Linked DNA regions of Notamacropus eugenii. The protein of the gene in region 4 binds, or shares a complex with, the protein of the main gene of each other region. Links are inferred from orthologs where the notes say so. Each region holds a gene or a part of one and is shown on either strand. Other genes may lie near its edges. The genes, in order: MKS1, TMEM216, TMEM107 and TCTN1.

Region 1 (7,063 bases), on a different chromosome or scaffold from region 4:
AGCTCTTATTTGGAGAACTAGAATGTTCTGGACAAAAAGGATCCCAGGACCAGGTAGATAAAAACCTTTCATTCAAAGAGCTGAATAGGCCTTTGGGCAAACCACCTTTGGCACCCCTACTATTTGCGCTTTGTTTGCATTAGGATATAAGAATTAGAGCTGGAAAAAAGTGTAGAGGCCCTCTAGTCCAGTCTCTGTATTTTTCATAACTGAGGAAATTAGGGTCCAGGGAAGTTAATTGATTTACCCAATGAAATATAGGTAGCAGAGCTGGAGTTTGAACCTGAGGTTCTCCGCTTCTAGATTGAGTATTCACTTCACTCTTCTACATTGTTTCCTTCCCGTTGGGTTTTGCCCAAGTTCGTCACTCATTACAAAATGTTTCAGCCATATTAGTGTTCACTGGTAACAGCAGGTAAAACGGAAAGAGAAATGCATTTGGATTTTGTAGGCCTAAATTCTAGCCCTGGAGCTACCTCTCTCAATTACAATATATCTTGGGAAGAGTACTGGATTGGAATCCGAGGGCCTGGGTTGAAATTCAGACCCCTCATTTTATGGGGATTTCCATACTGATCAGTTAACCTCTGCTTTGTTCTTTAATCACAGGTTACATTCCTGTAACTTTCCCCTATTATTATTCTCCTTTCATTACTCACCCTAATTACTTAGTACTTGTTTTGTGTGTAGCTTGTATTGACTCACCTGCTTATAGCCCCTTTCCATATCGCGGTCAAGATTTTCAAGGTAATCATGAAAAGAACTGGGAAAGAAGGAGATCAGTACCAAGTTCAAACTGATTGATAATCATTATCATTAAAATAATCATTAAATAATCTAAATATGCAATAATTATTAAAAATGACTTGGTACTGGTTAAAAAGTAGAAAGGTAGATCAGCAAAACAGATTAGGTAAGTAACATACAGAAATAAACTTACACGTAGCATAGCATTTGATAAGCCTGAAGGTTGCAGGTACTGGGGGAAGGCCTCACAAAAACTGTACAGCAACTTGGCAGAAATTTGTTTTAGATCAACATCTCATATTATATACCAAGATAAGCTCCAAATGAATACATGAACTAGATGTGAAAGATCACATCATAAACAAATTAGAAGAGCTAAGAAGAAATTACCTTTTGGATTGATGGATAGAAGAAGAGTTCATCACCAAATAAAAGACAGAATGGATCATACAAGATAAAATAGGCAATTTTGGTTGTAGAAAATTTAAAAGTTTTCGTGCAAGCAAAGTGAATGTAACAAAAATTATAAGGAAAATAGGTAACTGGGAATAGATCTTTGCAACAAGTTTCTCTGATAAAGGTCTCATATCCAAGATGTATAAGGAACACATTCAAATTTATTTGAATAAGAACCATTCTACAATAGATAAAATGATAAGAATGGAGAGTCGAAATCTATGTTATCAACAATCATATGAAAAAATGCTCTAAATCACTAATAATTACAGAAATGCAAATCAAAGCAACCTGGAAGCTCCAACTCATCTATCAGACTGACAAAAATGATAAAAATAGAAAATGATGTTGGAAAAGCTGTAGGAAAATAATATAATGCTAGCATTTACATAGTACTCACTATGTCAGGCACTCTGCTAAGTTCTTTACACTCTGCTAAACTCATTTGAGACTCACAACAACACGGTAAATAGGCGCTATTATCACTATTTTACAGATGAGGGAACTGAGACTGAGACTGACTTGCTCAGGGTCACATAGATAATAAGTATCTGAGGCAGTCTATCCCCCTGTGCCACTTAGTTGCCCCCAACAGGCACACTAAATGAGCTGTTGTTACAGCTATGAATTGCTGCAGCTTTTCTGAAAAACAATATGGAATTATTCCAGAAAGTTTTCAAACTCTGCATACCTTTTGATCCAGCTATACCACTACTAGGACTACACCCCAAAGAAATCAAAGAATGTGATAAAGGATCTGTACGTAGAAAAATATTTATAGTAACTCTTTTCGTGCTAGCCAAATATTGGAAATTAAGGGGATATCTTATTGAGGAATGGCTTAACAAATTATGGTATGTGAATGTAATAGAATAATATTATGCCACCATAATGAATTTTTCAGATGAAGTTGGGAAAACATCTATGAACTGATATAGAGGGAATTGAGTAGAAACAAAAGAACAAATTATTGTTCTCAATGATAATAGCATTGGAGAAAAAAAAGAACTTTGAAAAACTTGAGAATTCTGATCATGCATTGAGAAACCACAATTCCAAAAGAATGAAAACAAAACACAGCATTCACCTCCTGACAGAAAGGTAATGAACATAAATGCAGAAAGAGGTACACATTTTAAGACAGCTAACATGAGAATTTCTTTTGCTGAATTAAGCAGTTGCGTACAAAGGGATTCATTTTGGGGGGTTTAAAATTTTTTTTTTCTCATTTGGGAGTCAGTGGGAGCCACAGATTAATAAAAAAAAAGTTTCTTAATTGAAAAAAAAAATTTTAAAGATGAAAAACAAATAAAAAAGAAAGTGAATGCTGTGGGTGAATAATGACCAAGCTTGCTCCCTAGAATCTCCCTCCCTTCTTTTCAGAGGTTGATGGGACAATGGGTATGAAGGTACATATCTCAGGCTCTGTTGGTGGTTTGGTTATTTTTGCTGAACATTTTCCCCTTTTTTTATTGTTATGAAATGTTGACCTGAAAACTTGGTTAAAGAAAAGGCAACAGGCTAAATGCATACATTTTATGATTTAATTAATTAATTGATCAATCCCCTATTAAAGAAAATGGTAACATAATGCATTATGGAGCCAGAAAAATGTTCTGGCTACCCAGTACAGAAATCTTCTGACTTATATACATTTTGCCATGAGAAAGGAACTCTCTTAGTTGAACAAATCATAAATTCAGTAAGACAAGACAATTAATAGGGCAATGTCAGTTGAGCCTTGTGATTCCAGGCTGGGTAAACATATGCCTCAGTGACATAGGACAAGAAAGGAAATCCCACCACTAGTGAGTGGCAGGCTTCCTGTCCTAACCAGATATTCGAAATAGCTGACACAGGAAAGGGTAAACAAAGTTCAAATAGAAATTACGACCTAAGATGTCTGTATTTTCTTTACCATTAACATGCCATAACACAGTATATGTCTACAAATATTAAGATATGGAAAATGTCCCATTATTCAAGATAGTGTCTTAGGTTAAAGGTCTCCCAAAGAATGTTAAGTCAGCCTTGGCTGGCTTTTGTTGACATAGGAAGAGGCATTCTTTGAGTTTGCTTCAGAGAGAGCAAAGAGATTATTCCAAAATTTTATATTAAACATTATCAGAAATCAAGGTGACATAAAAATGAAATACAATTTTTAAAAAGAAAGTAAGCTCCTTGTGGGCAGAGTTCTTTATTTTTATTTTTCTGTATTTGTATCCACATCAAGATTAGCACAGCGCCAGTAGTGGCACCTAGTAATGTAGTGCTTAAAGCCCTTCACCCACATTATCTCATTTCATTCTCACAGCCACCCTAGGAAGCGGGTGTTTTTGTTATCTCCCTTTTTATAGATGAGAAAACGGAGGCAGCCAGAGGCTGAATGACTTGTCCAGGGTCACACAGCGGGTGAGGCAGCATTTGCACTCAGGTCTATCCCGACTCCAGGTCCGGTGACCTCGCTGCTTCATATTAGCTTAATAAATGTTTATTGATTGATCGCCTATAGCCGGTGGGTCCTAGGAAAAATCACTTGACCCCTGTCATTGTAATCCCTCGACTCCCTAAAATAACAGGGTTGGGTTGGATGCTCTAGCTGAGGGATTCTAAACTTTTTCATGTCCTGGACCCCTGGAGCAGCCTGGGGAAGCCAATGGACCCAGACGCTGCTCCCCAGAACCGTGAACTGCTCAGTTTTCCTTTGAGGTTAAACAAATCTGGGTCCCCTGAAATCTATCCGGGGCCTTTAGGGACAATCCCATTCTAGGCTCCGGATCGCACTCCCCAGCCGGCCCTCGGCACGCCCACCCAGAGCCAGGATTACGTCATCGTCCCGCCCTGCCCCGCGCCCTTCCGGCGTGCCCCGTTGCCAGGGGAACTAACTCAAGCGCGCGAGCGACGGTTGTCCCCGCGCAGGCGCAGTAAACGCGGCAGCCATGGCTGAGCCGGGCTGGAGTACCGATACCGGGGAGGCCGTGTATCGCTCCCGGGACCCCGTGCGCAACCTTCGGCTCCGGTACCGGCCTCCCCTCATCCCCGTCCCGTCCCGCTCCCCCTCTGCTTCTCCTCCGCTTGATCTCCGTCAGGGCAGGGCTCCGCGGGGTGACGTGAGGCCCCCTGCGCCGAGCCCCGGGTTCGAGCCCCGCGCTCCCCGCGGGTGCCTTTGGGCGAGTCCCTTGTCTCTCAGCCTCAGCGCCCTCTTTTGTGGCATGACTTGGTTGGGCTCCAGCCCCTGCGAGCCTGGGACGCGCCACCATCATCATCGTCAGTCCCGGCGATAATAGTGAATAGCTAAGGTCGTGTAGCGCTGAGCGCGGACCGTTTTTGTCTGATTGATCCTCCAGACAGCCGCCTGGCAGGGAGGCACTGCCAACGGGGAGCCTGAGGCAGAGGCTTTTGTTGGAAGTGACGTGCCCAGGGTCACGTGGCTAGTAAGACTGGATGGAGCCCCCAATCCGGCCCGTTATTGATCATCGTATATCGGTGAAACCAGGAGCTCGGGGCAGGGGAACCTTAGGGGAGCCCCTGGAGAGCGAGGCCCGTTTTCAGTTCTGTCTCCTGGTACGAAGGAGCACTGGATGAAGGGCTCATTGGATTGAATGTGAGAGGCCTTCCAGCTTTAAGCCCTAAGATAAAATCCATCTCCTCTTCCTCTGGGGGCGGGGGTGGGTGGGGAAGGAGTAAAGAGGCCCCCGAGGTAACGGCCAAGCCGAGTTTAGAATCCAGCTCTCGGAATCAGCGAGAGGCAGCGGAGCCTTCTGGATTCTGGAGACCTGGGTTCTAAATGGGGCCCTGCTCTATGACCTTCAACCGTCCTTCTCCTTTGGGCCGCTGTTTCCTTTGCAAAATGAGATGGGTGGTCTAAATATCAAGCCCCCTCTCCCTAAGGTTTTAGAGTTACGCGGTTCCCATCTCATATTCTTTGGGACCCACCGTATAGACATCCTTCTCTGAGACCTGAGTCATTCTCCCTCATAACCTTACCACAAGCACCCTTTCCACTCACAGACGTAATTTCTCTCAGGCCTCTCTGTTTCTACCACTGTTCTTGAATGTGCTGTTACTATTCCCCCCTCCCCCCAATCACAGACTTTGCTTTAACCCTGTTCTACCTCCTCCCTCCTCATACATTCCCACAAAGACTGGCCTGCCCTAGCTGCCCACTCCCATTTATGGTACTCTTGTACAACTCTGTGATATGGACGCCCCATCATTGTGTTGTCTATGCTAGGATTCTCTCTTTCTCTCTTTGTCAGAGTTCATCTCCAGAAAATCACTTCAGGCAGCCTCCTCCTCCGCCCGTCTTCTCCCCAACTGGCAAATGACACTATAGGCTTGGCCACCCTTAGCCCACCAACTTCTGCCAGTATGTATTCATATTATGATTTGATTGGTTGGGAATTTGGGGAGGGTACTGGGAGTAGGTGGTGTTTGAGGTCTGAGGATAACCATTCCTGTTCACCTTCCTCCTGCCTCCCAGGAAGCAGTAGTGACCTGAGTTCTTGAATTCTCTGCTCTTGCCCTGGACTTCTGGAGACTTTATACCTTTGAGGAGGTTGGCCTGCTCAGCTTCTCAAACAGGGTTTGAGGGAAAAGGAGAAGTACATTGTTTACCAAAAGAGTTCTGAATGGGTACTAGTTGTGGCCTAGGCACTTAATACATAATCTAGTTAGTCAGTCAGTAAACATTTATTAAGCATCAACTACTCTCTGCCAGTCATTGTGCTAAACACAGCAGATGCAAAAAAAACCAAGATAGCCCTATTCTCTAGGAACTCATAGTCTGATGGGAGACACTGTGCAAGCAACTTTGTACAGACAAGTTGCAAACAAGATAAGCTGGAGATAATCAACAGAGGGAAGGCTCTAGAATTCAGAGGGCTTGGGCAGGCTTCCTTTACAAAGTGGGATTTCAGTTGAGACTTGAAAGAAGCCAGGACACAGAGATGAGGAGGAAGAGAATTCTAGGCAGTGATATTGTCTAGAGTCAGGCAATGGAGTATCTTGTTAGGAACAGCAATGAGGCCTCAATCAAGGAGGCTGGATTGAAAAGTCTCTAAAGACAAAGGAGGGCAGGGTGTGAGGTGTAAGAAGATTGGAAAGGCGGCAGAGGGGCTGTTATGAAGAGATTTGAGCACAAAGGATCTAATATATCACAGTTCTAGACCTTGACTATCTGAGTACATGCCACTGTATAGGTCTAATTGATTCTGTAATGATATGTTGCCCATTTCTGAGAATCAGTTTTCTCTTCTACAAAATATCTGCCTTACAGAACAGTAAGGACCAAATGAGATAATGTATCTGTAGGTGTTGTACACAAGTAAGAAATTCTTAATGCTTTCGCATATATGTGACTTTTTTGAGTAAATTCAAGGTCCAGAAACTTTGCAAAGTGTGTTGGATTTGGAGTCAGAGAACTTGAGCTGAAATCATCTGCTGTTTACTGACCGTGTGACCTTGGACAAATCATTTATCCAAAATGAGAAAATTGGACTAGATTGCCCTAAGGTCCTGCCTAATTATGAACCTCTAGTCTTTTGAACTAGATACAGCCTTTAGCACGCTTACTCTGGAGCAGTGTTTTGGGGACTTGGGAGAATCACCCTTGTGGAAGTGGACAGCCTTCTTTTTTGTCCCTAGCTGGAACTTAAGATAGATTTTCCTACAGAAACATTGTTTAGAATGATGGTTAAATGTGGTTACATTATTGGTTAGATAGATTTTGTGTAATGAAGAGAATCTTAACTGCTACTTTTAACTTTTCTGTAGGAAAGTGAGTTCCGATTTCCAAATAACTGACATAAAGTTTATTAGCAATTGGGAGCTGCCTATGAAATTCACCCTTTTGAATCAG
Region 2 (7,476 bases), on a different chromosome or scaffold from region 4:
TTTGTAGGTTGTAGGGGGGTCTGTGTGCAGACATGGTGGGGATGGAATGTCAGGGCCAGAGAAGAGCAAGAGGAACGAGAGAGAGAAATGACAGGAAAGTGAAGTGGAAACCCTCTCATGAGGCATTTGGAACTCCAGACCGAGATTTGTATTTTATCCTAGAGGGAGTGGAAACCTTGGGGGATTTTTGAGGAGAGGAGTGACATGGTCAGATCCGTGTTTTAGCAACTTGTTTTGGCAGCTTTGGGGAGGACCAATTGCAGAGGAAAGAGACTAGAAGTGTGAGGTCCATTGATGTCTTGCAAGAGCCAGGTTAGAAGCTGTGGGCATGCAGAGATGGGTGCTGGGAGCTTCAGGATGATGGAGAGAGAGCAATCATGCTTTGGGAACCTAGCTGGCAGGAAGAAGTCTGGGGGAGAATGGAGTGACCTGGCTGCCTTTTGGAATGGAGGAAATGGAATAGTGAGGCTTATTTTGAACTTGTTAGCACAGTACCCAGCATATAGTGAGCATTCAGGAAATGCTTCTCCACTCATTCCAATTCGGTTTTAGATGCATACAGGATATCCAGAGGAATTAGTAGCATGGGACAGGATGCAGGAGAGAGATTTGGGCTGAATTTAAAGATTGGGAGTCAATCATTGATGACATTGGAACATGTAAGAGCTGATGAGATCACCAAGGAAGGGAAGGGAGAGGAGAAAAACAGGCCCAGAACACAACTTTCATGAGGAGGGGATTGATAGATGGTGCAGTGGATACAGCACTGTCCCTGGAGTCAGAAGGAGTCCACTAAGTTCAAATCTGGCCTCTGACAGTTACTAGCTGTGTGACCCTAGGCAAGTCATTTTACCCTAATTGCCTCTCCCACCCCACTGAAAAAGAAAAAAACATTTCCCAAGAGTGATCAAGGGTGAAAATGAAAGGACAACAAACAGACGAAAATATTTGCCACTGTCGTAGAGGAGATCAAACACAGAATTTACAGTGAAGAGGGATTTCTTATAATGAAGTCTTCCACATGCTCTAGTTTATGGATGACACCATAATGGTCACATGAAGGCCCATAACATGGCAGGGCCTCCTAGAAGAGATCCATAGTGACAAAAAAAGTTTGATGTAACCATCCACACAGGAAAAAGCAAGTGGATAAAGACTGCCTATTGTGATAGGCCGTCATGTGGACAATCTACAGAGTCCATCCATTATTATATACATATACGTGTGAATATATATGTGTATGTATATATGTACCTGTGTGTGTGTGCATATGTGTATGATGGTGCAGACTGATTTGGGCTCAGAACTGAATAGAAGGACCTCCAGAAAATAGCAGAGTTTTGTTAAGGACTTCCGTCATCTCCCAGAAACAAACACCCATCTTCTAATTCTTTCTTTTTAGAAATGTACTCTATTTAATGATATTTTTTTGTTTTTACATCATCCTTATTTCCAAAGAAATCACCTCTCATTAAACAGAGATTTAAAAAGGAGGAAAAGAGCAGTTCAACCAAGCTTGCTCATGCAACATCAGGCCTGTTGGACAGACGGTGCCCACCATACATGGAATTGTGAGGGGAGCCCACCATCTTGTAGGGTGGAGAATCCTCCTGGGATGTCTCAACCGCGAGTCCCTCAAGAAGGCAAAAAAGACGTGGGGTGGGAGTGCGCTGGCTGGCGCAGCTAGCAGCTACAGGGCAGGCTTCCTCAGGGGCCTCCTGGCCAGGTGAGCCTGAGTAAGACTCGGGGGAGCTCCCTAATATGATGAGTTGCAGAGAGGGTCAGTCTGCATTGGCAGAGGCTTTTTCCTTTGTCTCAGAGGCTTGAGAGAAATGAAATGACTGGCCCAGGATGACCCTGCTAGCTACAGATCTGAGACAGAGTTTGAGCCTGGCTTCCTTAATTCCAGGCCCAGCTCTACATACCCTGGTCTGGGCTGGCTCATCAGAGAGGTAGTCTGAGGGGAAGGTGTGGATTGCCAAAACTCCAGCCCTCAGGAGAGGAGCAGAGCTCACAAGTAGGAAGCCAGCTCATGCTGGTGACGTGGCACTAAGCTGGCACAGCTCCTGGCCTTGTACTGTCTGCCCGGCAGGGGAGATAAGAGGATTTTCTGAGATCTTCGTGCTGAAGCCAAAATAGGTTCTGCTTTTATTTTGTAAAGCTCCTGAGCCGAGCTGTTTAATTCCGAGTACACCTGAGCCCTTGGCTACCAGGAGCATAGACCAAGATGAGAGGAGTAAACAGGCTGACCCTGTCCACACAGGAGTCCCAGGCCTGGACCTCATACATAGTGAATGCCTCTTCCTGGTAAGGGAAGCAATGAAGGGCTTGACAAAGCATTTATGTGTGGAAGGGCCATGCCCCATCATCCTTTCCCAGGAAAAAGAGAACTTGGTTAGTCTGTTAAGAAAATGTCCCCATCTGTAATCCCAGGGGAGCACAGGAGTTCCAATGGCTGGGTCCTGCTGCTTGGTTGTCTACGCTAACATCAGCGTGGTGAGCCCCGGGATTGGGAGCTATCAGCATGGCCAGGCTGCAATGGTCCAAGCTCCTGTACCAGTCAGTGGGAGGACTGGGCCTAAGAACATAATGGGTTGGTGCATGGGAAAGAGCTGGGCCATGTGGTGGTGCATCCTGTGTGGGGTCAGAAGTACAGACAGAGCAAGGGCCACATCTGAATGCTGGCTTTACCTTGGCTGCTTCTCTCCTTTAGAACCTGCGCTGGAAAAACTCCAAGCATTTTATTTGGACAGATGGTCTTCAAACCCTGTTTGTGTTTCAGAGACTGGGTAAGGACCACATCACCTTCCCCCAGCAGGTCCTTCATTCTAGAGTCAGCCAGTGGCATAAGTCCCATCACCCCTGCAGTGGTCCTTCCCCTTCCCACCCCTCACCTGGTGGTGCTGGGGAGTCTGATCCCACTATCTCCCATGTCATGTCCCCAGAGGAGCAGCTTGAAGGGGAGTACCCTTCAGGGCCCTTTTCCCATTCTTATCCCCAGCTGCTGTTCTCTATTGCTACTTCTACAAGAGGACAGCCATCCGCCTGGGTGATCCACGGTTCTACCAGGATTCTCTGTGGCTGCGCAAGGAATTCACCAGAGTGCGAAGCTGACCCCTCTGCACCAGCCAGACTGCGGGAACCCTGCCTGCTGCATCATTGGGGGCCCATGACCAGGGCAAGGCGGGCACATGTTCCCTATTACTCACCTGCATGCTAACTAAAGGTCTCCTGCGCAGCCTGCTGCCCACGACACAGCACGGCCCCTCTGTACCACTTCCCCTAGAGCCTGAGGGCCCATTGGCTCCCTTCCTGCAACCAGGAAGTTCCACCTAGGAGCCCTTATTAAGAGCCCCCTTTGGCTGCTCCCTCTCCCCCCACCGCAGGCCTGGGCATGCAGAGAATAACACTGGCACACTTAAGAGACTTGGGCTTGGAGGTTTTTATGCTCTACAGCCCTTTTGTACTTTTTTAAAATAGGTAATAAATGTATCCCTTTTGCCATAAATTTCCAAGGCCAGGCTGTTTCTGTTGGTGGTGATGCCTGGTTTCCTTCCCTTGGTGGCCTGCATATCCCCTTTCCCTATAGGTAGACCCGGCCTTTGAGAGGCCATTTCCTTTCTTAGCTCTTCCGTTTTCCTGAGATGAACATGAGCAGTTTGGATTCAATGAATTTTCAGCCTTCTCCAGCTGCCTTATTTGTTCCTAGACTAGATCCAGAGTCTGACAAATTGTTTCTGTGGTCAGCCCTAGGGCCATGTGGGAGTCTGGCATGGGCCTAAAACACAGGGAGGGGGCCTGGATTCAAGGCCTGGTCCTAGCGCTCATTACTTGTGTGACTGTGGGCAGCTTCTCAGAGCCTCAGTTTCTTCACCTGTAAAATGGTGGAAATGCTTTTCTGTAGGTCCTTACCTTGCATTGGTTTATCTTTTGTATACATTTACATATAAATGTTGTCTTATGGAAGAGATACAAAGAAAGTGAACAAGTCAGTCCCTGCCCTTCAGGGTTCAAGCCCTAACTCTACCTGCCAATCACCCAGGACACAGCCTCTACAGAGCAGAGTCCTTGGGAGGCAGTTCCAGAGAGAAGGCACTGGGAGGGGGAGGCCAGGACGGACTTATGCACTGAACCTGGGGTTTGAGACTTGAAGAAGTCAGGGAAGCTAGAAGAGGGAGGCAGGGATGGCATTCCAGGTATGGGGCACAGCTAGGGAAAAGGCATGGAAGAGGAAGAGAGCGCCTCTTGGGCAAGGAGCTGCAGGAAGTGTGTAGATTGTAAAGGCTGTGAAGGGCTTTAGATGCCAAGCACAGAATTTTCCATTTGGTCCCAGAGGTAGTAGGGGGCCACGGGCCGACGAGGATTTGGGGGAAGATGACTCCGGAGCTGGGAGAGGCAGGCTAGGAGGGTGTGCAGGATGTGCAGGAGAAGTGTGCACGGAGGTGCAGGGACGCACTCGCGGGAGAGGGAGAGGTTCAACAATTAGGGGGCTTTTTCTGGGGGCACGAGTGTGGGTTCCAGAGGGAGGGAGAAGTGGGGGTATGCGAGGGGGGTCTGAGAGGAGGGAGTGTCTGAGCCCTGCGCAGGAGGGCATCTTGGGGCTCGCTGCTGTCTGCCTCAGTAGCAGCCCCGTCCCCCAGGATGGTTGTGCGGGAGCACTGAAGAAAGCTGACGCCCGGAGGGGGCCCGCCCCGAGCCGCCCTCGGCCTCTCACGTGGGCGCCCCGGCAGGGCTCGCCTCCGCTTGCCCCGCCCTTCGCCAGGCGGAGGCCCCGCCCTTCGCCAGGCGGAGGCCCCGCCCCCAGAGGCCGCGCCCCCGCCAGGGCCCAGCGCCGCAGGCCTCGCGCATGCTCGGCGGCCGCCCCCACCGAGCTGGAGCGGCCGCCAGCTAGAGCGGCCCTTCCGGGCGGGCGCCGCCTCGCCCCGCCCCTCACTTCCGGCAGGCGCCGAGCTGGTCTCCGGGAGCCCAGGCGCCGCGCCAGCAGTTTCCATGGGGACTGAGTGGCGATGGCACCGCGAGGTGAGCTGCCCGAGGTGTGTGAGTCTCCGCGTTCGGGGACCCCCGCCCAGGCCTCGGTTTCCCCACGGGTCCACAGCGAGGAGTGCGCTGGCCGCGGCCGTGAACGCGGGCGAGCCGGGGCGGGCGGGGGCCGGCCGGGGCGGGAGGCGGGGGGGACGCGGCCCAGCCGCTCACCAACCTCGGGCCTCCCCCTCCAGACCGCCGGCTGTCGTCCATCTCCCTGGAGATCTTGCTCTTTCTCAATGGCTGGTACAGCGCCACCTACTTCCTGCTGGAGCTCTTCGTGTTCATGTACAAAGGTGAGGCGTGCGCCCCCCTCCCTGGCGCGAAGCCCCGCCCCTGACCCCCCAGAGCCCTGGGTGAACGTCGCCCCGCCCCTCGTCTGGCCCCGCCCCCAAGCAGCCCCGCCCGTCCGGCCCCGCCCCTCCCAAAGTGTTGCCTGGAGAGCCTGAAGGACCGGCGCCGACCCCCGGTTGTGCTGTGCCTGTCCAGCCGCACAGCAGGGGTGAGGTGTCAGACCGGCACCCCTCCCCCGCCGCCTGCTGCAGCCTCGTTCTGGCCCCCGCAGGTCTTCTGTTACCGTACCCAACAGCCAACCTAGTTCTGGACCTGATCATGCTCTTTCTTTACCTTGGCGTTGAAATCATCCGCCTCTTTTTTGGTAAGTGGCTGATCCCCGCACCTTAGCAGGGGACCGAAAGGGTCCTGGCCCCCTTCTGTGGCCCAGGGGAAGGTTACAGGGTTGGACAGTCCCTTTCCTTCCTCTGGACAGAGGAGGCCGGGGGGGCACGTGGTTCTCCCGGGGCCTTCCCCCTTGCGGTGGGCACTGGGTGTCAGGGGCATATGTCCTTGCTGTGATGGTCCCGAGTGCTCCTTTGGAGGAGGAGGGAGGAACCCAAAGTCCTAACTCTTCTAGGCCAAGTTTCCCATCACCACAGACCTGCATGACTTCTAAACCTGGACTTCCACCCATTTTGCAGCCTCCGTGGCTTTCCCTGCTCCAGCCTTGTAAGCTCAGGGCAGGCCACTGGAAGTGATCCCCAGGGCCTGTTTTGTGCCTGTCTTGACAGCTACAAAAGGGAACCTCTGTCAAAGGATGATGCCCCTTGGGATCAGCTTGGCCATGACCATTCCGTCAGCCATGATGGCTTCCTATTACCTCTTGCTGCAGACCTACATTCTGCGCCTTGAAGTTGTCATGAGCACCATTCTGCTCATTTTCTGTGGCTTAGAGCTGGTGCTTGAGTTGATCACGCTCACCACCTTCAACAGGTACTACTTCCTCAGCCTGGGCTCAGGCCTCCCCTCTAGGAGGGCCCTGTGTAGGGGAGACGGGGTGAGGCTGGATATGGGGCTGGGAGATCTTGGAGGCTGAGGTGCCAGCGGTGGATAGGTGAGGTTAGCTACTGCTCTTTGGTCTTTAACCTACTGTGGTCTCTTCTTGCCCATAGCATGGATTCGTATTGAAGTGGCCTAATTGAGCCCTGGTGACTCAACCCCCTGGTGCCACAGAGACACATGCTCTTGAGGAGGCCAGCCCTTTGACTTGGTCCCGGCAGTATCTTCTAGACCAGCCTACAGAATATGTTCTCCATCTCCTTCAGGATAGCAGAGAGCACACAGCCCTGTCCTGGGCCCTTGCACATGGTCCTTACTTGGCACTCCCTCTTGTCACAACCAGAGCACTGAGTTTGGATTGTCTAGGTCTCCGGGGCCCCCAGCTTGAGCTAGGCCCGTTGTGCGTGTGTCCCTGGAAGCACTGTGGACCTGCATTTCACAAGGGTGTTTTTCTTCCACTAACCCCAAACCCGGACCTCATCCCATTCGTTCATTGTAGGGGATGAGCTTCAGAAGGGACTAGGCAACAACACTCAATAGCTTGGGGTATCATTTTCTTACACTATGTCTTCGAACAAACACTATTTATTTACAATAAATATTTATTTTCTGTTGTGGGGGCTGCTTATGGCACTGTTCTTTGCACAAAGCCCAAGGACAGTACTAGGTCCCTGCTTCCCAGACCTCCCAAAAGCCTGCTAGTCTTTCCATCAAGCAGCAGCATCACAGCATCAGGCCTCCGTGAGGCTTTCTGACTGTCTTCCTTACAGTGCCTGCTGTGGCCTGGTTTGGGAACTCAGTCACCAGGAACCAAGGGCCTTCATAAAACCTCTGCTCTCTAGGCTGATGCTGTGGTGAGGTGGCAGGATCTTTTGGTAGACAGACTGGAAGCGTTAGCCTCTATTTAAAGATGAGAAAACAAAGGAAGAGGCTTGGGGGGAACAATGCCCAAATCTTCTGTTGACCATCACTTATACCTTATTGATCTGTCCCCCATTTGTTCTGCTGCACGCAGTCACATCTGTCTCGTGTTCCTCTTCAGAGATTAACTGCCAGCCCCCTCTTCCTTTCTTTACAGAATCTTGAAGCCTTCGGAGGCCATGAGACTTTTGGCAAGTC
Region 3 (7,117 bases), on a different chromosome or scaffold from region 4:
AGGGTACCTTAGTAGACACAGGCACACTTCAAGACAATTACAAAGTCATAACCCATTCTGATTAGTATTTCCCTTTTCATCTCATTGGTCAGGCATTTCAAGGTTCACAGTCTATCTGAAAACACCTAAACCCCAACCCCACATGGTTTCCTGCTTACAGCTCTCATTTCCACATTTCAATCCCTTCCCTTTCATCTTCATTTTCTTTATACTTTATTTAATAAATGCTTCTAGTTTCCTTCTTTTGAGGTGTAAGCTCAGTTCTCATGTGAACGCCCTTGGGCAGGTAAAAGTGAGGGCTTCTTGATTTCGAGCTCTCATGAGGCCCCCCAGGGAACAGCTGAGAATTGAGGTATGAGACTCGAGCTTTCTTGTTTTTCCACCTCTTCTCAGTGGAAACTTGCTGGGGAAAGCATCTCACCCTTGAGATTGGTCTGTGGTCTGAGCACACCCTTTTGTTAATTAGCTAAGGGGATGAGAGCATGCATGGTATCCATGAGCGAACTATGCAGCGGGGAGAGTTTAAATGGGGACAGGAAAGCCTGGGGGTGGGGTTCCTTTCTCCTCGGGAAGAACTCGCCCTGCATGCTGACATGTAACTAAGATCCTGAATAAAGCTTACAACTTCTGTTTGACCCTGGAAGTCTCTTCTCTCGATACGTTTATCTGGCTGGCCACCGAAGACCTGGAGATAGGTAAGATGACCCGGGCAGCCCACGGCAATTAGGCTGGACATCCTCCTAGTTTGTCTGCATCAGATGTTATGATCACCATAGCATGAGAAAAGAATTTTCTCAATTGCTAAGAGAATTGACAAAAGCTGTGAGTTGAACATTGGCCCAGGATATCGATGAGAAAGAGTCACATTATCTAAGACAGTTATCTGGGTTAATGGACCCCATCCTTGGAGAACCACAACTGGCCAGTTTTTGATACACTGGACAAAGGCCTTCTCAGAACAAAAGAAGAAGAGTCTGCTTTTAGATATGTTGATTAACAGGTGGCCAACATCCCCCACTGCCCTTCCACTACAATCAGTTTTGCCATCAGTATAACCTCTTAGGTTTCATGTAATTTCTATGGAAACAAAATTCAATCATCCCTTACAGTTCTATTATGGAAGACAAAAATTGGAAGGAGAAGGTCCTCCTATTGATGAGTGACTACACAAATTGGGGTATATGAATGTATGGAATACTATTGTGCCATAAAAATAGTGAAATGAATGATTTCAGAGTAAACTGGGAAGACCTCTCTAAACTGATAATTAGTGAAGTGAGCAGAACTGTTGAGGTCTAGGGCTTCTGGAACCCTGAAATTCAAGGGCAAACAACTCTAGAGTCCTGCCTCAAATGAATTAGACTCAAGCCTTCTTTCAGCTAGAAATAAGGCTTATTAGAACATGGTCTGGGTGGGCAAGATTTTAAGAATCTGCCCTATTGTGACACTTGTATTATCAAGAGGGCCACACTGAATATGAACATTGACAAAACGTAAAGAATATGAGACTTTTGTATTGATAATGCAAGTGGGGCAGATGGGTATAGGCTCTAGAAGCCCCCTTGAACTTTCCTTGAGTCTTCCAACTTGCTCTAGTGTTTGCCTGAGGTCATAAACCTTCCATTATTACTATGCCCAAATCTGTTACCCTTAAACTAGCCCAGCCTTCCATAGTCTCCTACCTCCAAGTAGTCTTCAGCTACTTCCCACACTTAATCCTATTCTCCTAGTTCCTGGTGTTTGACCTCTAATTACCCCAGCCTACTGACCAGGCCATTCCCATAAAGACCCTCTGTAAACCCCTCCTCTAGTCACCCTAGACTACTTGGCCACCTCTAAATCCCCCCCACAGCCTTTTTGTATATAAGATCCATCTTGACTCCATCAAGGTGCATTCTGGCCCTCATCACAAGGGCTCAGATTCTATCTGACCCACAGCCGCACAAATGCTCAGATTCAACACAAGCATCACAAATGCTCAGATTCCTTAAGAATCTACCCAATATGGTGGATCTTTAATAAACTTTGTTTTTCTTTGGCTGAAAGAAGGTTTGGGTTGAATTCACTCAGGCAGGACCCAGCGTGTTGCTATTTCAGGGTCTCAGAACCCCTAAGCCTCAACAGGGACAGATTCTTAAGGAATATGAGCAATTTAATGGGGGGCAAGATGCACCTTATACACAGAAAGACTGTGGGAAGGATCTAAGAGAGACCAAGTAGTCTGGGGTGACTGGGAGGTAATGATGTGGTACAGACTCTGGGAACCTCCTTGAATCTTCCCACTTTATCTGGCCTTTCATACTCATATCTGTTCCCCTTAATCTAGCCGACCCTCAGTGTTACCCAAGGTAACATAGTTTGTTACCTCTGGATGGCCCCACCTGCTTCCTACCCTGGCCCTCCATTGTCTGATAGCTCCCAATTGCCTCCAGCTGTTTCCCATCCTGGATTATATCACTAGTTATCCTAGTCCCATCAAGATCCTCCTTAGACCCTCCTCCCAGACTACTAGACCACCTCTAGATCTTTCCCATGGTCTTTCTATATGTAAATTCCATCTCACCTCCATGGAAGTGCTCGGATTCAATCCAGCTCAGACTCCGTCTAGTTGAGATTGTATCTGGTCCGCTTGTTAATATAGTGTTCCAGATGCTTAGGCTCTTTAAAAGTCAACCCAATATGGCGAATTAAAGATTAAAGAATTAATAAACTTTGTTTTACTTTGGCTTAAAAAAGGCTTGACTTGAATTCATCTGAGCAGGACCTATCATGTTGGTATTTTGGGGTACGCAGCACCCCGAACCTCAGCAGTAACAGAGAAAGACCTGGAAGGGCTGAGTGCCCCAGGCACATACCAGGGATGTGGGCCACCTGAAAAAGCCCCAGGGCTTTTCCTTTAGAGGGTCCAGATCCCAAAGACATGATCTTCTCCTTTTATGTATTCAGATTCCATCCCCATCAGAACCAGAGAATAATTTATGTATTGTTAATACCAGTAAGGGAAAACAACATTGAAAAACTTTAGAACTCTGATTACTACAAAGATAAACCACCAATCCCAAAGAATGAAGATAAAATAAGACACTCACCTCCTGACAGAGGGATGATGAACTTAAAATGGCATTAAAAAGCCATACATTTAAATGTGTGAAATTTGTTTCGCCAGACTATGTACATATATATTGAACAATTTGTTTTTTGGTCCGATTGTACGATTTTTTAAGTTGCCCAAGGTGGGTGAGTACTGGGAAGGTCAGATGAATGAAACAACAACAAAGGTGTCCTGGTTTTTTTTGTTTTTGTTTTTTTAAAAAGGAAAAGGCAATCTTAAAAAGATCGTAAGCTCCTCTAGATCTGGTACTGTTTTCATTTTTTGTATTCGCACAGCTAGCGTTCAGCACTTTTAGCAAAGTACTTAGCGCCCATTCATTCATTCATTCATTCATTCATTCATTCATTCATAACGTCATCACCTATTAGAAGGCAAATTCCTTAAAGCAGGGGACGTCTCGTCTTTTGCTTCCCGAATTTCCAGCTCTGAACTCTGCCAGATACTTGGGGAAAGCGTAATATTCCTTCCTTCGGCACTCTTTAAACAAACCCCAGAACGAGACCCCCTGCTAGGATTCTGGGGTAGGTGTAGGTCAGGCGGTTCCTAGCCCTTCGGGAACTGAGTAGGAAGAGGGCAGTAACCACGGCATGTAAATGAATTAGGGTGACAAGGGTGTAAAGAGAGAGGGAACGTGGGGAGAAGGACTGGAAACGGGCTCGGCAGCTCCAGGGGAAGATGCTATGGAGGGGGGAGCCCTATGGCTATTTACAGGATAAATTCTAAAAGGACAAGTTTGGGGGGGAGGTCAGGCACCCTTGTTTCCAGGGAAGAATCTGCCAAGGGTGGGGAATCTGCGGCCTAGATAATAAAAGGATTTGTCAGTCCAAAGGCCGCACCCAGGGACCTGGAGGGCCTCGAGGTCGCAGGATCTCCAATCCCGCAAGCGAAGGCACGAATTCTGCGCTAAGGCCGGCGGTTTGCTGCAAGCTACGGGAGGGTCCCTTTAAATTCAATCCCTCTCAGTGCATTGCTACTTCTCACGAGATTTCCTGAGTAGTTTAGCCAACCGTCATGGTTAAAAAAAAAATAATGCCCTGGTTGTCCGTGGCAACTGAGAGGCGGCGGCGAGGTGCGGAAGGAATCGTGGATCTACGGCCGCCGACCCATGTTCTCGGAAAGCATGGGGCGGATCACTGGGCTGGTGCCCTCTCGTTTTCTGACGTTGCTAGCTCATCTGGTAATCGTCGTCACCATCTTCTGGACGCGGGTAACCTAACTGCCATCCCAGCCTTTTCCCTTCGCTTTCCCGGGGCCCCCTGTCTCCGGCCCAGGGTTTGAGCGGGTGACGCAAGTCGCCCGTGCCGGTGATCATCGCCTGAGCTCCCGCTTTCCCGGCCTGCGCCTGCGCTTGGGACTCCTCTTCCTTTACATCCCCTAGCTTCTCCTGCGCCTGCGCCTGCAACTCGTAATCCTTTCTTTACAGAAAGGTTCCCGCCCCCCCCAACTTTTACCCCCTTAATGAGTTACTCTTTCTGCCCTCCCCAAGCGCAGGCCGGAGCATCCCGAGCCGGTCCTACGTAGGGGTCAGGAAATCTAGCTTTAGGGTTTAGTCTTTACGCTGTGTGACTTTAGGGACTGCGGGTCCATGGACCTCTGTGTCCTCCCCAGCATGTTTTATGAACCGGTGGTTTCTTAAGGCCCACTCTGTAGCTTCCACGCTCCGTGGGAAGAAGGGGAAGGGACAAACACTGGCTGCCCTGCAGCTACCGTTTCTGTTCCATCCTGGCTTAAAAACCCTGTTTTACTCCTGCTCTTCTTTCCTAGGACATCAACGTCCAGGCCAGTCTGCCTCCCGATTTCACCTCGGAGGAGTATGAGGAGGAGGACCTTAAGTGAGCCACCCAGGGGATGGGCGGGCCAGTGGGGGAGGCTTTCCCCTCCTCCACTTTGGGGTGGGGTGGAGGAGTCAAGCCATCCTGGAGAGGGAGAAGGCCCCTGGTTGCGAAGGGTAGACTCCAGGACCGCTTTATCCCTACATAGGATGGTCACTGCTCTCTCCATTACCCTGGGCCTCTTCCTGATAGAACTAGCAGGTTTCTTTTCAGGCGTGTCCATGTTCAACTCCACCCAGAGCCTCTTCTGTATCCTTTCCACCTACTCTTTCCCCCCAGTGGCCAGTGGCGTGGCTCCCCAAATGGAAGAGTGCTAGGCCTCGGGGGTTGGGGGGGCGAAGTGTGGATCTCTGAAGTTTAACTTGAGCTTGGCGCAAGATGGAGCCCCTCTTAACATGGTGGTGACATAAGCAGGGGTCGGGGAGACGAGGAAGGAAAGAGAATTGAACTCCGCTTCCTAACCTGGCTTAATTTGCTGGCAGAGTAAGCGCAGGTTCCCTTCCCTCCTCGGCCGAGGACGGGTCCTGCCTGGGTACCACCCCCCCTTCTCCCAAGCCTGCTGGGAAATGTAGTTCCATTGTTTTTCCCTGACTCTCCTGAAGCCATCGCGCTGCACTGCTGCGCAGCGGTGTCTTTGGCCTTCTTCGTCTTCGAGGGTTGGGAGTGCTACGTCTATTGGTACATCTTCGCCTTCTGCAGGTGCGGCACGAGGGGCCACCTATCCAAGGTTTCCGAGAGGCTGCCCCCGAGGAGGCAACGCTTTCCTGCTTTCTGGGTTTAAGGGCTGGTCCTGACTAGGGTGTCAGTGCTGGGACTGGGCCGTCTTTGTTACGAGAAAGTCTTTGATCACGCCTCCCTCCTCTTGCAGTGTTCTCCCAGCTTCCACTGAAGTAATATTGGTCATCGCTGTCTTCGTGTTAAAGAAAAAATCTTTCTGAACCACTTCCCACAAACGTGGGGCAGAAGACCGAGAAGGCTTTGAAGTCAGCCCTCAGTCCTTGGAAAAATAACTGGGAAGACTGCCAGCGACAGGGTTTGGGGGACTGTTGGCAGTGTTCTTATCCCCCTGAGTTTTCGCACATTGACATTGTATATAATATTTTATAATAAAACCCCACTTTTGTACCATAACTAAAGCTGGTGACACCAGTTGCAGGGGACATTCGATGTTGGCCATACACAGGGGAAGGGAAGACACAGCAGAGAGGAGTGTGCCGCAAGGGGAGCCTGGTGTTTTCCCATCCATTCCAGGACCTTAAAGTTACTGGTGCCCCTTTTTCGATGATTACGGTCCAAATCCCAGGAAGGGGCGGGGCTGATTTATGCGAGTGACAATGTACGTCATTCCTGGGACAATATGCAAATGAGGACCAGGAGGCTTTGGAACCCTGAGTGAAGAAGCTAAGACTAGCTTCTTTAGATTGTTTGGGGTGCAGATGGATGGAATAGGCCTTCGTTATTTATGGGCTTGGGGAAAGACAGTGCCCAGTATCCATCCATTAGGTAAATCAGAGTTAGAATGTCCTGCATTTAGCTCCCAGAAAATATTCTTTATTGTTTGTAAGGCATGCCCTGAACGGATGTAATTTCTTCCCATCTGTGAAATGGGCAATACTTACTACCATCCGAGTGACGTGTCATGGTGCACAAACCGGGGACCCTTGAACACTTACTAGCTGTGTGATCTTGGAAAAGTCACTTAACATTTTTCATTCTCAATCTCATCTTTGTGTAAAATGGAGTTATTGTGAGGAAATGGGAAAATAGTACCCTGTCTCCACTAGGGAGTTCATTTTTATAGTATACCCCAACTCTTCTCTTTTTCCAACAGGATTAGGTGAGACATGCCAATCTAGAAGGTAAGAATAAGTGACACTCTCCTAGGAAAGATTAATGGTGACAAGAAAAAATGGAAGGGAGCTTAGCACCTTGAGCCAATGAGATATGATCACAAGAAGCCTCAGAGTCTGAATTTTGTTCCAGTTTTGTTCGTTACTATAGTAGTGGTTTCCACGTTTACAGAAGGAAGGCATTGGCTTAGATGAGCTCTCAGATACTTCCAGTTCTAAATTTCTGAATCTTAGGTTTGAAGTGAAAGTAAATATGATGAAAGATCAAGCATGGCATTATTCTATCCCTGAATATTACAAATACCTTTGGAAATAAAGGCAAA
Region 4 (6,920 bases):
TTCAAGTTTTCTACAATCATTTCCATAAGTCTTAAATTTTCTCCCTCTCCCTCTTCCTTCCCTCCCCAAGACAGCATGCAATCTTATATAGGTTCTACACATACATTCTTATTAACCACATTTTCACATTAGTCATGTTGCATAAAAAGAATTAAAATGAATGGGAGAAACCATGAGAGAAACCAAACCAAACCAAAACATAATACAAGAGAAAATAGTCTGCTTCATTCTGTGTTCCGATTCCATAGTTCTTTCTCTGGATGTGGATGGCATTTTGCCTCAAGAGTCCTTTGGGAATGTTTTAGGTCCTTGCATTGCTGCGAAGGGCTAAGTCTATCAGAAACAGTCCTCGCACACTGTCTGTTACTGTGTACAATGTTCTCCTGGTTCTGCTTATTTCACTCGGCATCAGTTCATATAAATCCTTCCAGGCCTCTCTGAAGTCCTCCTGTTTATCATTTCTCATAGCACAATAGCATTTCATTACATTCATATATCACAACTTGTTCAGCCATTCCCCAACTGATGGACATCCCCTTGATTTCCAGTTCTTGGCCACCACAAAGAGAGCTGCTGTAAATATTTTTGTACATGTGGGACTTTTCCCCAGTCTTATGATCTCTTTGGGATACAGTCCTAGAAGTGATATTGCTGGGTCAAAGGGTATGCACATCTTTGTAGCCCTTTGGGCATTGTTCCAAATTGCTCTCCAGAATGGCTGGATCAGCTCACAGCTCCACCAACGAGTCAGGGTTCCAATTTTCCCACGTTTATCATCTTCCTGTTCTGTCATGTTATCCAATCTTATAGGTGTGATGTGGTACCTCAGAGTTGTTTTGATTTGCATTTGTCTAATCAGTAGTGATTTAGATTAACTTTTGTCTTGCCACGGGACTTCTATGACCCTGGAAGAGAGAACGAGGCTGAGGGCTTTGTGCAACTCTGCTTCACTTCAGTCCAGTTCATACAGAAGTCAAGGCAATACCCATGATGTCATTGTATCCTTTGAAAACAAAGGACAACCAGCAATATAGCTACATAACATAATGTGTGAATTCATGTAGCCATATAAACACCAGCTGTTATTATGATAATATGTATCTGTTTGTTGTTATTCCCTGAATACTTTTAGCTTCATGAAAGTAGGACCTCTATCTTATCTAAAATCTATTCATCCTCTAATGGTGGGTGCCACTGTGTCTAATGCACTGCACCTAGAGGGGGGGGGGGTAAGATCTGAATTCAAATCCTTCCTGAGCCACTTAGGAGCTGTGGGCAATCCCTGTTTGCCTCAGTTTCCTTATCTGTAAAATGGGTATGACAGCAGCACTCCTCTCACAGGGTTGTTGTGAGGACTCAGTGAGTTAACACATGTAAAATGGTCTGCAAAGCTTAAAGGGCAACCTTGATGGTAGCTATCATTATAACAATGAAGATTCACTTTGAGTTTTGTCTCTCCAGCATCTAGCAAGGCAGGGGTTGGCACACTGTCTGCTGCTTGCTTGAGAGAGTTCTGCATACAGCAGGGACTTCACAGATGCTCTGGTTGCTCTCTGTGAGCTGGGGTCTCACTGTCTCCCTTTGCACACAGCAGGGGCTTAATAGATGCTCTGGCATCAGTTGCTGTATCTGCAGGAGGGGGTGTCCCCTTCCTCAGTCAGTCGCCCTCCCTCCCCACGCACAGTGTGCTCTGGGTGCTCACAGCAGGCGCCTAATAAGTGTGGCTGTCAGCCTGGACCGTGCTGGGCTGGGCCTCAGGGCAGGTTGCACCTCCCACTCTGGGGGCCTCGGGACCAGAGTCAGGAGGGACAGAGAAGTGGCTGAGCTCGGGGTGAGCCCAGGAGGATGAGGAGCAGCAGCCTGAGCCCGCAGCTCAGGCCACAGACTGGCCAGGCGGGAGACGCGTGTTGTCTGGGCAACGGCCGCGTGGCATCACGGGAGGAGCAGAGAGGAGGGATGAGGAAGGGGGCACGGGAGGGGAGGGGCTAAACCATCCCCAACAAGGGGCGAGGATTGACGTCAGGGACGTGGGGCCTCGGGTTCAGGCAATGGGGAAGATGACGTCAGGAGGAGTGAGCCGCCTCTGAGAACGCGAGGAGACTTAGTTGGGGGCGCAGAGCGAGGGCGGTCTAGGGAGGGGGCTGGCGGCAGGGGAGCCGAACAGCGTTTACGCTGGGGAGGAGATTGACGTCGGAGGTGCCAAGCAAGTCTAGGGAAGGGGCGGAGATTGACGTCAGCGCAGCCTAGCGAGGTTAGGGGACGGGAAAGGGATGACGTCAGGGGCTCAGAATAAAGACAGGAAGATGACGTCAGGGGTTTAGGAGTGGGAAGCCCCTTGGGGCAGAGCTAAAGGAGCTTGGTCTAATCCATGCTCTGCTTACTCCATGTGTCACTCTACTGCTCTGAGCCTGTTCCCTCAATATCTTGACAAAACCGTATTAGTCTCCACCTTGCTCATATTTTACCCCAAAATCATATTTCTGTTATTTCACTGCAATGCTTCTCCTGCCATTTATGATGATGCTAGCCTGCTTCTCCTAGAGCTGAAAGTGACCTTAAAGATGCAACCTCATTTTGTGCATAAGTAAGGCCGGAGAAGTCATATTCTCTGGGTCACATAGCAGCAGATCGGGGATTCAATCTGAGGGTCCTTCCCAGCAGTCTTTTCTCCAGCAGCAGAACAAGCCCAGGTCTCCTGACTCCAAGACCAGTGCTCTTCCCTCTCTATCCCACTCTCTCCTCCCCTCAATCCTTTTCTCCCTGCTTTCATCCTCCTTCCCTTAACCAAGCTCTCTTGCCTCTCCTGACCATCACCTTCCTTTTCCAAGAGTGCTGTGTCCCCAGGCCTTTGTCCAGCTTCGTAGGATAGCTCTGCTCCTTTGATGTCATCCCCTCCCAGACACTAAACCTTCCTTCCTCTGCACCCCTTACTCATCTTCCTCTAATTCCCTAAGCTGTGCTCTGAACCCTGAATGTCAATGACCTTCATTTCCCTAAATTTACTAACCCCCCTGACACACTCCTCCTCTTATGTTCTGCATCAGTTTCCTCCCCTTCCCTGGGCTCTCTCTGTACCCCTCCCCCCCCACTTATCTTCCAGTTCTCTAGCCCAGTTCTCCACCCCTGATTCCAGTGATTTTCCATTCCCCAGGTGTCCACGACACCATCTGCTTCCATTCCCTAGCTTTACTTTGGTGCCACTGTCTGTACTCTGGACATTAGTCCCCACATCTTCCCTAGGTCACTGCCTGACATCAACCTCTTCAGGTTCCCTAGGCCCACTCTGTGCCTAGGGAGACTGTGCCAGTCTCTCAACCTCTCCCTTAGCCTTGGCACTATCAGACTCTAAGAGTTCCATAGACTTGTTCTGTGCCTATGATGTCATGCTCTTCCTTTCCTTAACTTTCCTTGGAGTCCCTGTTGTCATCCCTTTCCAATTCCCTGGACTTACTTTATGTCCCTGACATTATTCCCCCTCTGCTTCCCTAGGTCTGCTCTTTGACATCAGTCTCTACCAGTTCCCTGCCTTTAGTCTGCACTGCTGATGTCATCAGCATCACTGGGGTCTTCTCTACTTCCCCAATCTGGTTCTGAACTGCTGATGTCAGTCTCCTCTATCCCTCAGCAGGCTCTGAGAACCCAGATGTCATCCCCATTCAGTTCCCTAGACTTTACTCTGCACCCCTGATGTTAACTCCTTTCAGCTCCTTACACATGCTGTCTGCTGCTCCTGACATTAATCTCCAGGGGTAAAATTTCAGCCTGTGCTGGGGTGGGGGACTCTAAAGCCTTGATGTCTTCTATTTTTTATTCTGAGCCGCCCTTGTCAGGCCTTCCAGTTCCCTAGATTTGCTCTGTGCCCTTAACATTAAACTACCTCTCGTTCCGCGTGCTGGGGATACGGGGGAGGGGGGAAGGAGGACAGGGGAGTGTGTGTGTGTGTGTGTGCGTGTGTGTGCGCTTACTCGGTCCTAACATCGATCTTCCTCTCTTTCTCCGGGGCAGGAGGATGGTGGTGAGGGGGGAGGGAGGAGAGGGCTCTGAGCCCCCGACGCCATCCCCTTCCAGTTCCCTAGACGTGCTCTGTGCCCTTTATTCTCTCCCCTTTCCCGGGATAGGTGTGTGTGTTTGGGGGAGGTGGTGGCGGGGTCATGGGGGTGGGGGAGGTTCTAAGCCCCTGACGTCACATTTCAGTCTCTATTCTGAGCACCTGACGTTATGCCTTCCAATTCCCTAGATTTTCTCTGTCTCCCTAACATTAATCTTTCTGTCCCCAGGCTGGGGTACGGTGGGGGGAGGGTACGGAGGGCTCTGAGCCCCTGACGTCATCCCCTTCCACTCCCCTCTCCTCGCTAGGCTGCGCTGACGTCAATCTCCGCCCCTTTTTAAACGTTGTTCGGCTCCCCCGCCGCCATCCCCCTGCCTAGACTCCCCTCGCTCTGCGCCCGGGACTGCGGCAACCTCGCGTCCTCAGAGGTGCCTCCCTTCTCCTGACATCATCCTCCCCCTCCCCAGGCCGGAACCCAGGCTTAGCCCCGCCCCGCCATTGCCACTCTTCCCAGCCTGCCCCGGCCTCTCCCTTTCTCCTGCCCGCCTCCCGTGATGCCCCGCGCTCGGCTGCTGCTGTTGCCCAGACAACGCACGTTTCCGGCGTGGCGGTGGCTCAGTGGCCTGAGATGGGGGGGTGGTGCCTCCTGTTGCTGCTGCTCGTCGTCCTGGGCCTGGGGGCAGCGCAGGTTCCAGACTCCGAACCCCCACCTTGGGCCCCCGCAGAGACTCCTCAGGGCCCCGATGCTGGGCCCATCCCGGACCCCGACCCCGGCCCCACCCCGGGCTCCAGGGACAACAGGCCCGAGACCGGGGTCCGCGAGGCCGCCGGGGCCACTTCTCAGTCGCCCCTGGCCCCAGCGGAGGACATGCGGCTTGCTCTGAGGCCCAGCCCGGTCACGAATGGTGGGTACTGAGGAGGCAGGGGAGGACACAGACCTGGAGGCCTGCAGCAACATTTGCTAAGTGCCTGCTGTGTGAACAGAGTGCACTCTGTGTGGGGGAGGGGGGGAGACTGGTGCGGAGGAGGGGGTGAGGTCCCAGCGGGCAGCTGATGCCAGAGCATCTCTTAAGCCCCAACCTCGTGTAGAGGAAGTACCGGGTCTGTGGAAAGAAAAGGTGACACCCTAGCTCATAGATACAGCAGCCGGAGCATCTGTTAAGTCCCTGCTGTATGCAGAGCTCTCCCAATCAAGCGACAAACTGTGTGCCAGACCCTGCCTGTTGTTGCGTTTGTCCTTCGTTCTGGAAGAGGTCCATGACATCAAGATGACGACGTGACTTGCAGTTGACTCTGATCTGAGTGAGTGAGGGCTGTGCAAGATCACCAGCCTCACCTTCTCCTCCAGTGGCTTGATATTCATCAGGATGACAGGAGATGGCTGGAGAAACAAAAAGCAAAGTGAATTTTAGGAGTGCATCTTACTTGTAATAACATTGATGTTTCGCTTTAAAGTTTGCAGACCATTTTATATGTGTTAACTCATATAGTCTTCATACCAGCCCTGTGAGAGAAGTGCTGCGTTATACCCCTTTTACAGATAAGGAAACTGAAGCAAACAGGGATTAAATGACTTGTCCATAACTACTAAGTGTCTGAGGAAGGATTTAAATTCAGGTCTTCCTGATTCTAGGTCCCAGTGCATTATACACTGTGGCACCCATCATTAGAGGACATATGTATTTTAGGTGAAATACAAGTTCTGCCTTCATGAAGTGAGAAGTATATTAAGAAATAACAAGGAACAGATAGGATAATATCATAATAGCTGGCCCTTAAATGTTTGCATTGTATTGTGTTCGTCCTTCATTGCCGAAGAAGACAGGACAGGATAGGCCAGGACAGGACAGGAAAGGAAAGGAGCCAGTAGAACCCAAGTCATCTGGGCATCTAGCTGAGATTCTATCTGGCCCACTGGTGAATACAAGCATTACAAATGCTTAGGCTCCTTAAGAGTCAACCCAATATGGCAAATGCATTGTATACAATTGTAAACAACAGCTCTATTGTTTGTCCTTCATTTACCAAAAGGACCAGTGACATCTTGACTCATGTGAACTGCATTTCAGTGAGTTAGCTTCAGTCTTTCCAAGTCATCCAAGTCCAGTAGCAAGACAAAAGTCATGACAACTGGCAATGGCCCTAAATGTGGTGGATGACCTTGGTGTCATTTTGTCTAAGCTCTAAATTGTTCTTATCTACCTTTTCTGCTGGGGAAAGCCTTCACATACTTGAGGTAGATGTCTCCATAACTCACTGATGGGTTTTGAGGCCTATCAGTTATCCTTAGCCTGGTTTAGCCTGTCTGCTGGATGGTTTACTCCATCATGGCAAGCTCTCACGCCAGAGGTGCTAGTCCTCCATGAACACCCCATACACCTCAGATAGCTGTATAGTGTATATTGAAGTTTGCAAAGCACTTTGATTATGTGGTATATGTTATACGTGTTATCTTGCTTGATCCTCACCACAATCTTGTGCTATTATAATCTGGAAACTGAGGCAAACAGAGGTTATGTCGTGACTTGCCCAGGTTTCATAGAGCTGGTGTCTTAGGTTAGATTTGAACTCAGGTCTTCCTTGACTGCAGGTCAGAAATTGTATCTACAGTGTCAGCTAGCTACATATAAGGGGCTTAATATGGTGAACAGAGTGCATGCTGTGTTTGGAGACAGCAGGGCCTGGGCTTGACTGTTCTCTTAGACACTGCCTGTGTCACTGAACAAGCCACTGAACCCCTCTGGGACTTAGTTACTTCTTTTGAAAAATGAAAAAGTTGGACTCAGTGACCCCTAAGGTGCCTTTCATCTCTAAATCAGTGATCCTACTTATTGAATGCTTACTTTATGCAGAATTCTGTGTCAAGTACAGG

What was found.
Region 1: TCTN1 (region 4) and MKS1 share a complex: the UniProt entries of both Homo sapiens proteins name them as parts of the tectonic-like complex. The link is inferred for Notamacropus eugenii from reciprocal best matches to the Homo sapiens genes TCTN1 and MKS1.
Region 2: TCTN1 (region 4) and TMEM216 share a complex: the UniProt entries of both Homo sapiens proteins name them as parts of the tectonic-like complex. The link is inferred for Notamacropus eugenii from reciprocal best matches to the Homo sapiens genes TCTN1 and TMEM216.
Region 3: TCTN1 (region 4) and TMEM107 share a complex: the UniProt entries of both Homo sapiens proteins name them as parts of the tectonic-like complex. The link is inferred for Notamacropus eugenii from reciprocal best matches to the Homo sapiens genes TCTN1 and TMEM107.

What each region holds. Positions count from the first base shown.
Region 1 is NC_092873.1:370,734,142-370,741,204, reverse strand, and holds the start of MKS1 (tectonic-like complex member MKS1), read left to right. Parts: upstream 1-4,058; 5' UTR 4,059-4,142; coding exon 4,143-4,222; intron 4,223-5,462; coding exon 5,463-5,572; intron 5,573-5,686; exon of another isoform or gene 5,687-5,761; intron 5,762-7,063. UniProt on the Homo sapiens protein: Component of the tectonic-like complex, a complex localized at the transition zone of primary cilia and acting as a barrier that prevents diffusion of transmembrane proteins between the cilia and plasma membranes.
Region 2 is NC_092873.1:12,955,752-12,963,227, forward strand, and holds TMEM216 (transmembrane protein 216), read left to right. Parts: upstream 1-4,849; 5' UTR 4,850-5,006; coding exon 5,007-5,019; intron 5,020-5,216; coding exon 5,217-5,318; intron 5,319-5,587; coding exon 5,588-5,680; intron 5,681-6,089; coding exon 6,090-6,291; intron 6,292-6,470; coding exon 6,471-6,486; 3' UTR 6,487-6,971; downstream 6,972-7,476. Other genes in the region: TMEM138 (transmembrane protein 138), read left to right, coding at 2,714-2,789, 3,002-3,114. UniProt on the Homo sapiens protein: Part of the tectonic-like complex which is required for tissue-specific ciliogenesis and may regulate ciliary membrane composition.
Region 3 is NC_092873.1:77,718,742-77,725,858, forward strand, and holds the start of TMEM107 (transmembrane protein 107), read left to right. Parts: upstream 1-4,101; 5' UTR 4,102-4,217; coding exon 4,218-4,319; intron 4,320-4,876; coding exon 4,877-4,944; intron 4,945-5,092; coding exon 5,093-5,193; intron 5,194-5,546; coding exon 5,547-5,643; intron 5,644-5,812; coding exon 5,813-5,882; 3' UTR 5,883-7,117. UniProt on the Homo sapiens protein: Plays a role in cilia formation and embryonic patterning. Requires for normal Sonic hedgehog (Shh) signaling in the neural tube and acts in combination with GLI2 and GLI3 to pattern ventral and intermediate neuronal cell types.
Region 4 is NC_092875.1:35,714,362-35,721,281, reverse strand, and holds the start of TCTN1 (tectonic-1), read left to right. Parts: upstream 1-3,909; 5' UTR 3,910-4,676; coding exon 4,677-4,953; intron 4,954-6,920. UniProt on the Homo sapiens protein: Component of the tectonic-like complex, a complex localized at the transition zone of primary cilia and acting as a barrier that prevents diffusion of transmembrane proteins between the cilia and plasma membranes.